Canis lupus familiaris: one gene and its partners. The protein of the gene in region 2 binds, or shares a complex with, the protein of the main gene of each other region. Links are inferred from orthologs where the notes say so. Each region holds a gene or a part of one and is shown on either strand. Other genes may lie near its edges.

Region 1 (3,647 bases), on a different chromosome or scaffold from region 2:
TAAATTGCTACTTGTGGCTAGTTGGCTACTATGTTGGACAACATGGCTCTATAAGAATAATTTCAAGAAGTTAGGTTACCTAGATAATTGGAGATCCTGTGGCCTTTTTAGAACCACTAGATGCTCTGGCAATAATATTGACTTTGTTGGGTTTTTTGTTTATTTAGAAGCATTTTTTTAAAAAAGCATTTCTTGAGCATCTGCTTATTCAAAAGTTGATGCCAATGCAAATTTGAATGACACAGCTTCTGTCTTTAAGAGCTCTAGCCAGGGATTTGACATTTACTATACTGTTAAGTACAGTGTGAAAAGTACCACTATAGAAGCATATAATAAGGTGATGTGGGGGACACAAGGTATAGCATGACTCTTCACAAAGGGCAGGGAAGATTTCCCAGAAAAACTTAATGCTTGAGCTAAAATCTTAAAGAAGTTTGAAATATATATATATATTTTTTGCCTCTGTTCTTTCTGTGTTCTATACAAACAGATTTCTGGGTTATTTGTAAAGTATCTGTTGTCATTTTAGGGCCAGTTTTCTCCCTGGCTTTCCTTTGCTTCCTGTGACCTCTCAATTTAAGCCCAGGGATATAAGGTTTCCCTCCTCCTCCCCACCCTCCAGCCCTGCTGCCTTTAACACCTCTTTTCTTCCTACAGTGCTCTGTGAAAAGCTGCATCACTGCCTTCCATGTCACCTGTGCCTTTGAGCACAGCCTAGAGATGAAGACCATCCTAGATGAGGGAGATGAAGTGAAGTTCAAGTCATACTGCCTCAAGCACAGCCAAAATAGGCAGAAACTCGGGGAGGCTGAGTACCCCCTACACAGGGCCGCAGAGCAGAGTCAGGCCAAAAATGAGAAAACCAGCCTGCGGGCACAGAAGCTTCGGGAGCTGGAGGAGGAGTTCTATTCCCTGGTCCGCGTTGAAGATGTGGCTGCAGAGCTGGGGCTGCCAACACTAGCCGTGGACTTTATCTATAACTACTGGAAACTGAAGCGGAAAAGTAACTTCAACAAGCCATTATTTCCTCCAAAGCAGGATGAAGAAAATGGCCTGGTGCAGCCAAAAGAAGAGAGTATTCACACTCGCATGAGAATGTTTATGCATCTACGGCAAGACCTAGAGAGGGTAAGGTGATCAGCTCTGGCTACTGTTTAGGTCTAGGTCTGCATAAAAATGGAGGCCCTGCTTCCAGTTTGTCATTTTCTAAAGGTCAGCTCATTTATACTGTGGGCTTCTGTGTCCTTACTTATCTTCTGATTACACCGTGGCCCCAAACGTTAGACTCTGTTTACATTTTTGGCAGGCACTTTCTGTCTTTTTTTTTTAAGATTTTATTTATTTATTCATGAGAGACACAGAAAGAGAGAGGCAGAGACACAGGCAGAGGGAAAAGCAGGCTCCATGCAGGAAACCTGATGTGGGACTTGATCCTGGAACTCCGGGATCACACCCCGAGCTGAAGGCAGATGCCCAACCCCTGAGCCACCCAGGCAAACTTTGCCAGGCACTTTCAAGGGACTTGGAGGGCCCTCGTTTATATGCTATATGAGCCTTAAATCTGAAAGAAATTTTCATTTGGCTTACTTTTTATTCACCGTTGAGCCTAAATTGGCTCAGCTATATTTTACTGACACATAAGACTATGGGCTGAAGAAAGAATGAATTTCATTGAGGAAAGAACTAGATCAGAGTTTCTTAAACTTGGCACTGCTGACATTCTGGCTGGATAGTTCTTTGTTGTAGGGGACTGTCCTTTGTTGTGGGGGATACTGTTAGATGCTTAGCAGCATCCCTGGCCTCTACCCAATAGCAAATACCCACACACACACATACAACATACCCACTGTGACAACCAAAAATGGTTCCACATTACCAAATGCCTCCTGGGAGGTCAAAATCGCCTCTGGTTAAAAGACTCTACACCAGATAAGTCCGTTTAACTCACTTATTTAAAGATAAGTTAGGCCCTGTGTTTACCCTAGATAATTTTATAATCAAGTATAATTATAGAGATGGCTTGTTTTTCTCTCTGCTACCAGAATTTGGAAGGGAATAGATTTGGCTCACTTTGTAAAATTTAACTCACACATCTATAGCACTTACTATGTGGCAGCACTGTTCTAAGCATTTCATAAATATTCACTCATTTAATCCTAACATGTCTGTGAAGAAAGTACTATTGTTTAGCCCTTTTTACAGAGCAATAAACTGGGGCACAGAAAGGTGGGGTGATTTGTCGAGGTGGGATGGGGAGTATGGGAGCATGAGGATTGCACCCTTGTGGCTGAGATTTGGCCAAGCTAGAGGTGTAAACAAAAAAGCCACTTTCAGTCTTTCCAGCAGACTTTTATCCTGCTGGTCCAGTACTCATTAGAAAATTGTACTGGGGGGATCCCTGGGTGGCTCAGCGGTTTAGCGCCTGCCTTTGGCCCAGGGTGCAATCCTGGAGTCCCGGGATCGAGTCCCACGTCAGGCTCCCTGCATGGAGCCTGCTTCTCCCTCTGCCTGTGTTTCCACCTCTCTCTCTCTCTCTCTCTCTCTCTCTCTCTCTCTCTGTACTCTCATAAATAAATAAATAAAATATTTAAAATAAAAAAAGAAAATTATACTGGATCCAGCATCCCCATTGTTTTATACAGGGATCTAAAGGGAAGGCCACAGTGTTAAACCATCACTCGGTCTTCCTCAGTTGGCTGTGCAGATAAACATTGAGCGCATCACACTGCAGGGAGAGTAGGTTTCAGGGAGTGGCTTAGGAGCGTTTTGCTTGTGCTGCTGATTGATATGGGAACCATGATCCCACGACTGATCGTGCTACATGAATTCCTTTACAGTGGCTCTGTCTTTTGTGTTCTGTCTTCTCTCTTCAGCCACCCCTGTACCTCACTTAATTTTAGTTGTCTTAATTTTAGCTAAAAAATTTCAATTGTCAGGTTTCTGTAACATGGCAAAAATCTCTATTTGCTGTATGTTGGGCTTTCAGGTCCGAAATCTGTGTTACATGATAAGCAGACGAGAGAAACTGAAATTATCACAAAACAAACTACAGGAACAGATCTTCGGTTTGCAAGTCCAGCTTGCTAACCAGGAAATGGCTGCAGGTAACTTTATATTAAAGATGTCCTAATATAGACTGGTTATATCCTATTTTAACAATTTTAATTTTATGGCAGTTGTTTTACTTAAAAATCTTGTAACATTCTTGTCAAATATCTCATTTGCTCAAGTCCAACCCTGATACAACATGGCCCATTTCAGTGTTGACTCATGAGGCAAGAAATCCCAAGGTAGAGTTGGGGGACTTGCAGGTGTAGGGCAGATAATCTAGGTGTCAGACAGATATTAAGGGCCATTAGTGAAAACCATGAAATTATTCCGTAATCATCAAATTCATTTAGAAATCAGTAGGATAAGACCTAATCCTAGTTTCCAGAAAACGTTTAATTCCAAGGTTAAACAAACCCTTAGCCAATAGTTAGGAGATATAGGTTCTGTCTCTTTACTAATATTTGTTGAAGACCTACTGTGGACTAAGAAGCGAGCTAGGAAGTAGAGCAGTCAGCAAGACAAAATCCCTGCCTATAAGGTGTGCTGCCCACTTGGTGAGAGAGACAGGTGAGCATAATTACAGTGCCCTAAACATG
Region 2 (3,647 bases):
TTCGGGCCCAGGGTGTGATCCTGGAGACCCGGGATCGAGTTCCACATTGGGCTCCTTGCGTGGAGCCTGCTTCTCCCTCTGCCTGTGTTCTCTGCCCCTTCCCTCCGTCCCCTGTGTGTCTCTCATAAATAAATAAAATCTTAAAAAAGGAGTGAAGGCTACACCTTTCAGGTGTTAAAGCCCCATTTACTCTGCTAAGCCTCAAGAGACATTCAGCACTGAGCCAGCAGCTGACCAAAACTTTACCTGTCTCTTTAGAACTAGATGTTTTCCTTTCCAGTACTTGAGCATCTGAAGGGCTTGCAGAGTACTGACAATGTCCACAGGATTCACAGCTGTCTCCTGGCTAATTTCTGAAATAGAAGCACTCCTAAGAACTGGGCCAAAGTGCAGACACCCACCCCCACCAGCCCCCCACCCTGCTTTAAAGGAAACCCAGATGGTTGGGATTTCTGATACTCAACCCAACTTGTTCAGAAAAAGTTTATGAAGCATTTATTTGATCGGTCCTAATAACTATGAAAGAGAACTACTACAGGAAGAAATCACCCTGGCCCCTAGAGATCATGGTCAGAGACAGGACAGACCTGATTTCTTCTACCCTTCCATAAACATACAGATGTCATACCAGCTCCTCTGTTAGCCAAGACTTAGAAAAAAGGGAACATTTTTCTTTTATCTTGACTTTAATTCTTAACAAAAGTGTTAACTACCCCAGGTTTGTGAAACCAAAATCATATAGCCATTACCAAAGGGCCAAATGCTCTGGAATCCTTAGACAACTTTCATGAGATCTCTGTAGTGGCCCACATCCAGGGGGCCTTCTCTTTGCAATGAAGAAACTGGAATGTTTCCTGGCATTAACTTCTTGGGTACCAGCTATCCTAAAGAGCCAAAAACCAACCTTTGATAGAAATCTCTTTGCCTTGGAAATTATGCAGGTAACGGAGAAGCACTTCTTTCCAGTAACTGCGATAGCTTATGAGCCCCAGGTCAGAGAGGGGACGCTCCGGGGAGCCAACTTTTTCTTCCACTTTGGAAAGCAAGTAACCTACAGGGGAACAAAATGCAGACACTGTATTTCATTCTAATAACAAACACCATGGTGTCAACATGGAAGGCTTGAGAAGGACAGGCTGCTTCATGGTACCAATTAGGCATCAGATATTCAATGAAATATGGGGTGGCTGCTGTACAGTGTGCTGCCTTGTGATAAACCACAGGGGAAGAATGGTGTGTTTGCATTTAGTTGTATTAGTCATTAAGAAAACTCTGCAAGGTTCCACGAGATAGAAACTTTAATAACAATGGTAATCTGTAGGTGCAAACTAGGAATAGAAATGGGAAGCCATTTCATTACATCGCTTTTTCTATTTGAGACTTTTAAGTTTTTATAGATTATTATCTCAATGCTGGATCTCACAAAGCCTCTGGTTCTAACATTTGAATGTTAAACATGATGGGGATGCAATCTGAAAAATCCACTCTGCAAAACTAACCTGCTTTCAACAAATAGGTTAGAATTACAAGAGTTGGAGTGAGAACTTTCAGATTAAAAGTAATTTATAATTCACAACTATCAATTCCAACGTGAATTCCATTTGGAATTAAGTAAGAATAATTGCATGTGGGGAGGCTTGGGTGGCTTAGCAGTTGAGTGTCTGCCTTTGGCTCAGGGCATGATCTCGGAGTCCCAGGATGGAGTCCCACATCAGGCTCCGTGCAGTCTGCTTCTCCCTCTGCCTATGTCTGCCTCCCTCTCTCTGACTCTCATGAATAAATAAAATCTTAAAAAAAAAAAAAAAAGAATAATTGCATGTGTTTTCTTTAAAAGGAATAAAAATCACAAAATCAGGGAAATCTGAATACTGTAACTTAAAGTATTAAGGAATTTGGATTTTTTTAAAGATTTTATTTATTTATTCATTAGAGACACAGAGAGAGAGAGACAGAGACAGAGACATAGGAAGAAGGAGAAGCAGGCTCCATGCAGCCTGACATGGGACTCAACCCTGGGTCTCTAGGATTCAGGCCTCTGGCTGAAGGCAGCACTAAACCACTGAGCCAACCTGGGCTGCCCAATTTGGTTTTTTAAGACATGAAATAGAGCTTATCTTTTAGAGATGTCTAAGTAATTGAGCTTGAGAATAGAGGTGTAACAAGACTGGCCATGAGATGCTAATCACACTTACAGGGAGTTTTATTATCCAGCTCTTCTTTAAGCTTTATTTTAGGGACATTTTCAAACATATGAGCCCAGGTGGCTCAGTGGTTTAGCGCCACCTTCAGCCCAGGGCCTGATCCTGGAGACCCAGGATCAAGTACCATGTCGGGCTCCCTTCTTGGAGCCTGCTTCTCACCCTGCCTGTGTCTCTGCTTCTCTCTCTGTGTGTCTCTCATGAATAAATAAATAAAATCTTTTTAAAAATTAAAAAAACCTTCATTTTATGGACATTTTCAAACATTTATAAATGTTCCCAAACATGTCCATGAAATGAAATGAAAAAGTCCATGAAATGAAGTTTATAAAAAAAGTATTAACACCTATTCCAAAATACACAAGATATAGTTACCCATCCCCCCATGGATTATGCCATTTCCTGATTTCACCACTTCCCAGGGGGTATAAACATACAATTGGAAGGCTAACTCTAAGAATTGTAATTCTGACTAAAATGTCGTATGACAGTGAACAACGAATAAGATATAGTTGATTCTCATCATTTATAGTAGTTATGTTCTGCAAAGTCACTGCAAGCACTGAATTAGCAAACATGAAACATGCTCCTAGTGGAAACAGGGTTAGGTTTCTCAAAGTCTCTGGTCATATTTACAACCCATCATTATGGTCATCTCATTTTATGTGTTTGTTTACTAATACGTTTTAAAAAATACATTGTTGACTCATTAGCATCAAACTCCAGCCCAACACCAATGCTTGAATGAACCCTATCTAATACCAGTGTTTTCTCTGTAAGGCACTCAACAACAGCCTTTGTAGATGGCTTTTCTCAGCCCTACACCTAGGGGCAATTTAAAATCAGCAACCAGGGGGTGCCTGGGCAGCTGAATGGCTGAGCATCTACCTTCAGCTCAGGGTGTGATCCCAGGGTCCTCGATTGATCAAGTTTCACATCAGGCTCCCTCCCTGTAGGAAGTCTGTTTCTTCCTCTGCCTATGGCCCCCGCCCATTTCCCATGAATAAAATCTTGGGGGAAAAAAAAAGTCAGCAACAAGGATGCTTCCGTGGCTCAGTCAGGCTAGGCATCTACCTTCAGCTCAGATCATGATCCCAGGGTCCTGGGATTGAGTCCCAGGTCAGGCTTCCTACTCAGGAGCCTGCTTCTCTCTTTCCCTTTGCTCCCCTCCCCCTTGGACTCACACTCTTTGTGTCTCTCTCAAATAAATAAAATCTTTTTTAAAACTAAAATCAGCAACAATATGCACAAAAATATGAAAAGTATGGCAATAATGGACCGATTGACTGCAAAAGTGCCAAAGAATATTGATTTGGGGATTAAAAATAAATTTGAGGGGATCTCTGGGTGGCTCAGCAGTTTAGCGCCTGCCCTCAGCCCAGGGCATGATCCTGGAGTCCTGAGATCAAGTCCCACATCAGGCTCCCTGTGTGGAGCCTGCTTCTTCCT
Region 3 (3,747 bases), on a different chromosome or scaffold from region 2:
GCCGGGCGCGGGCAGCTTCCCGGGCGGCCAAGCAGACGCGCGGCCTGTTACATAACGACCCGCTCGGCTCCGCGGCCGCCCGCTCCGCGGCCTCCCCGGGCCCCCCGGGCCCCGCCCCCGCCCCCGCCCCGATCCCCGGTCCCCGCCCGGCCCCGGCCCCGGCCCCCCCCGCCGCCCCGGGCCGCCCGCCCGCCCGCCCGCCCCGCCGCCCGCGGACAATGCGCCTCCCGCCGCGGCCGCCAACATGGCGCCGGCCCCCCCGGCCCCCGCCCGGCCCGGCCCGGCCCGCCGCCCCCCCGCCCACTCACCGTCGGGGCCGCGGCGCGGGAGCCCGGGGGGCGCGGAGGCCGGCGCGGCCCAGGCGGCGCTAATGGCGCCCGCGGCTCCCCCGCCAACGGCCGCGCAGGCCCGGGCCGCTCTCCGGGCGCGGGGTGCGGGGGCGGCCGCCGGGGCGGGCGGGGCGGGGGGCGCGGGCGGCGGGCGCGGGCGGGCGGGGGCGCGGGGGTCGGACGCCCGGGCCGGCGCGGCGCTCGCTCCCCAGCGAAGCAAACAATGCGGCGAGCGCTCCGCCCGGCGCCCTGCGTGACGGACGCGCCCCGCCCGCCGCCGCCGTGACGCACGCCGCCGGGGAGGGGCGGGGCGGGGGGCGGAGCCGGGGACGGAGGGGCGGGGGGGGAGGGGGAGGGGGAGCGGGAGAACCGGAGGGGAGGGGAGGAGGGGAGGAGCCCGCGACGGAAGGGCGGGGGGGGGGGGGGAGGGAGGGGCCGGGGACGGAGGGAGACGGAAGGACGGCAGAGGAGGGGGGGGGGGGGGGGGGGGGGGGGGGGGGGGAGGGGAGGGGCCAGGGGACGGAGGCGGGAGAGGGACAGGACCTGGGCAGAGCGGACAGAGGGGACGGGGAGGATGGAGGGAAACGTGGCTGGAGGGGGGACGGAGGGGAGGGGGAGGGGGGCCGGAGGAGGGGGGTGACGGACGGGGAGGGACCAGGGGTCGCAGTGGGGGGACGGAGGGAGGGAAACAAGACCGGGACGCGGGGGGCGGAGTGGCGGGGAAGGGGGGGATGGAGGGGGAAGGGGGGGAGGGGAAAGGGGAGGAGGGGGACGGAGGGGGACGGGAGGGCCAGGGGACAGAGGGGGAGGGGGCGGAGGGACGAAGGGACGGAGGGGGCAGGACTGGACCCCTGGGCTGAGGGGGGCCAAGGGAGAGGACACGGAGGGGGGAGGTAGGGGCCTGAGGGAGGAACGGGACCCTGGGCCAGGCAGGGAGGGGGCGGCTGGCCTGGATGAGGGGGAGGACGGGACCCTGAGGAGGGGCCTGGACCCTGGGGGCGGAGTGGAGCCAGGAGCCTGGAGGGGAGGACGTGACCGTAGGGGGCACCAGGGAGGAGGGAGGGGTGACCGGACTGAGGCCGGGGTCCCTGGGCGGGGCCAGAGAGGGCAAGGACCGAGGGGCGCCAGCGGGAGGGGGTCTAACCGCAGGGGACAGGACACAGGGCAGGGGACCAAGGCCACAGACTGGAGGCGCCGCGGGGCAGGTGACTCCGGGGCGTCTAGGGCGGAGCCGAGCTGGTCCCCTGGTTTCCGGAGGCTTCGCGGGCTCGGTGTCCATGAGGACGGCTGGGGCCCCCGGCTGCAGGAGCCGCCCCTCGCCTCCGCCCCGGGTTCTCCCAGGGAGACATCTCCTCACCAGGGCACGCAGAGCCGAGTCCACCGCCTGGGACCGTGCTGCGGAGGCCTCCCTTGGAGTGTCCCGGGTGGGAGCCCCCCCAGCCCTCTGCCCACGGCGCTTGTGCCTCACGGCACCCAGCCGATGGATGAGAAGTGAAGGCTTGGAGGGTGGGCGAGGGTGGCAGCCAAGGCTCCCCTCGAAGCTGCTGCCCCTGCAGATACATCGTTGGGCCAGGGCAGGGCTGGCCAGGTGCTGGGGCACCAAGCATGTGGGGACCAGCGCCAGGAGCTGCAGGTGCCCCCCTGCTTTACAGAGGCCTGCTGATCTGACGCCAGACTTGCCAGGACGCCCAGGGGTGGAGGACGACGGAGCCAGGCGCAGCCCTGTGTCCTCGACCTTGGGCCAGCCAGGGGCACACCCACCCGCCCCAGCAGGTTACAACCCAGAGCCCGAGTAGGAGGAGATGAGAACCAGGAAGCCTCTTCACACACCTGGAGACGGAGAATGGCTTCCCAGGTGGCAAGGCATGCCCGGGAGAGAAGAACAAATTCATGTCAGAGTGACGTTCCCAAATTCCAGGGATAAAGAGACCACCTCCAAAAGCTTCCAAGGAGAAGGATATTGTTTGGTCACACTGAGCCTGATTGCCACTCGGCAAGGAAGCGGTTGTCAAAATTCTAAGAATTGAACCGAGAATTCCCTGTATGACGAAACTCGTTGGTGAGACAGCAAAATAAGGGTGTCTCCACAGTCAGTAAACATCCAAGTTTACCAAGTTACGCACAAAGTCTCTAAAAAAAAAAAATGCTGGAAGATAGACTCCAGCAAAATGAAGAGTATGTCCAAGAGTAAGACATGGATGCCAGCAGAGAAAATCAAATAACAACTTGAGAGAAAATCCCAGCTGAGCCCCACACAGCATACGGTGAGGGGCGATGACAGCGCAAGTTCTCGTATTGTTGGAGGACTTCAGAGTTGGTAGAAAGAAGTTGGGAAACTGAAATGAAGAAAGATTGGCGGTAGCAACAAAAAGCAGAAAAAGATAAATGCTTGGTAAGTAAGGAATATGATATAAAATGACAGGAAGAAATTCAAGTATTCCAGGAATCACAAACATGACTAAATTAATCCATTAAAAGATAGAGACTCTCAGACATATATCATTAGGTACTATTTACAAAAAAAAAATAGTCTAAAAATGTCACAGAGAGATTGAAAATAAAAGGATGGACAAAGTGTGTACCATACAACTTTCATTCTTCGGTAGACTGTAAAGAGAATGGACAAAAAATTAAAAACCGGAAAATAGTCGAACAGGTATACCTTGCAAATGATTAGTGTCCAGAATCCTTTCAAATCCATCAGAAAAAAAAAAAGCCAATAGAATGACACACAAAATCCATAACCAGTCTCCTTGAGGGGAAGAACATGAAAGGGCCAGTAACCGCATTTGTAATTTTGGGGATGCAAACAAATCACACCAAATGAGCACAAATGTGAAAGTCCAACCCAGTGATGACGGGAAGGTGGATCAACTGAGATACGCGCACGCTGTGTACATGGCACAACTGTGTCGGTAAATAACAAGACACGACCCAACAAAGCTGCATGTGGTACCGGTTACGTGTTCCCGCCTAACAAACCAGCTGCAAGACTGTCGCTCAAAATGATAATTGTTCCTTCTGCACACGGAGCTGCCGTGTGCAGAAGGAAACCATAGGCAGGGTTCAGCAGGTGCGGCCTGTCTAGTCCCCGCTGCAGCCCCTGGGATGTCCCTATGCGGGCTGGAGGGCGCACTCCAAGGTGGTGCACTCGGGTGGCCGGTAGGCCGGTTCCAGCTGGGGACGGAGTGGGACCGTGTCCCGAGTCCCGAGAGAACCAGGAGGGACCTGTATCACTTCTCCCATAGTAGCCAGAAGTCACCTAGTGTCCCTTGGGCCCGAGCCTGTCCAGATTCCAGAGATGAGACAGTGCCCTCTGCCCTCGGTGGAGTGTCAAAGCCACATTTTAAGAGGAAGGAACGTGCTATGGAAGAAGCCGTGGCCACTTGGGGAAAATGCAAGCTGCCTCATGTGCGGC

The links.
Region 1: KAT7 (region 2) and JADE3 share a complex: the UniProt entries of both Homo sapiens proteins name them as parts of the HBO1 complex. The link is inferred for Canis lupus familiaris from reciprocal best matches to the Homo sapiens genes KAT7 and JADE3.
Region 3: the proteins of KAT7 (region 2) and BRD1 are in contact, whole or in part, in a crystal structure (PDB 5GK9), measured with the Homo sapiens proteins. The link is inferred for Canis lupus familiaris from reciprocal best matches to the Homo sapiens genes KAT7 and BRD1. Residues at the interface, in NP_008998.1 of Homo sapiens: Leu531, Phe534, Gly536, Lys537, Glu538, Ile539, Ser540, Ile541, Lys542, Pro552, Val553, Val556, Gln560, Leu565, Tyr567, Lys571, His572, Leu573, Val574, Leu575, Lys576; in XP_047297239.1 of Homo sapiens: Val40, Ile42, Glu43, Ile44, His49, Arg50, Ile51, Ser52, Ile53, Phe54, Asp55, Pro56, Leu57, Glu58, Ile59, Ile60, Leu61.

The regions. Positions count from the first base shown.
Region 1 is NC_049260.1:40,877,331-40,880,977, forward strand, and holds part of JADE3 (protein Jade-3), read left to right. Parts: intron 1-657; coding exon 658-1,128; intron 1,129-2,986; coding exon 2,987-3,104; intron 3,105-3,647. UniProt on the Homo sapiens protein: Scaffold subunit of some HBO1 complexes, which have a histone H4 acetyltransferase activity.
Region 2 is NC_049230.1:25,820,138-25,823,784, reverse strand, and holds part of KAT7 (histone acetyltransferase KAT7), read right to left. Parts: intron 1,052-3,647; coding exon 905-1,051; intron 354-904; coding exon 247-353; intron 1-246. UniProt on the Homo sapiens protein: Catalytic subunit of histone acetyltransferase HBO1 complexes, which specifically mediate acetylation of histone H3 at 'Lys-14' (H3K14ac), thereby regulating various processes, such as gene transcription, protein ubiquitination, immune regulation, stem cell pluripotent and self-renewal maintenance and embryonic development.
Region 3 is NC_049231.1:18,266,943-18,270,689, reverse strand, and holds the start of BRD1 (bromodomain-containing protein 1), read right to left. Parts: upstream 2,268-3,747; 5' UTR 2,197-2,267; coding exon 2,160-2,196; intron 363-2,159; exon of another isoform or gene 309-362; intron 1-308. UniProt on the Homo sapiens protein: Scaffold subunit of various histone acetyltransferase (HAT) complexes, such as the MOZ/MORF and HBO1 complexes, that acts as a regulator of hematopoiesis.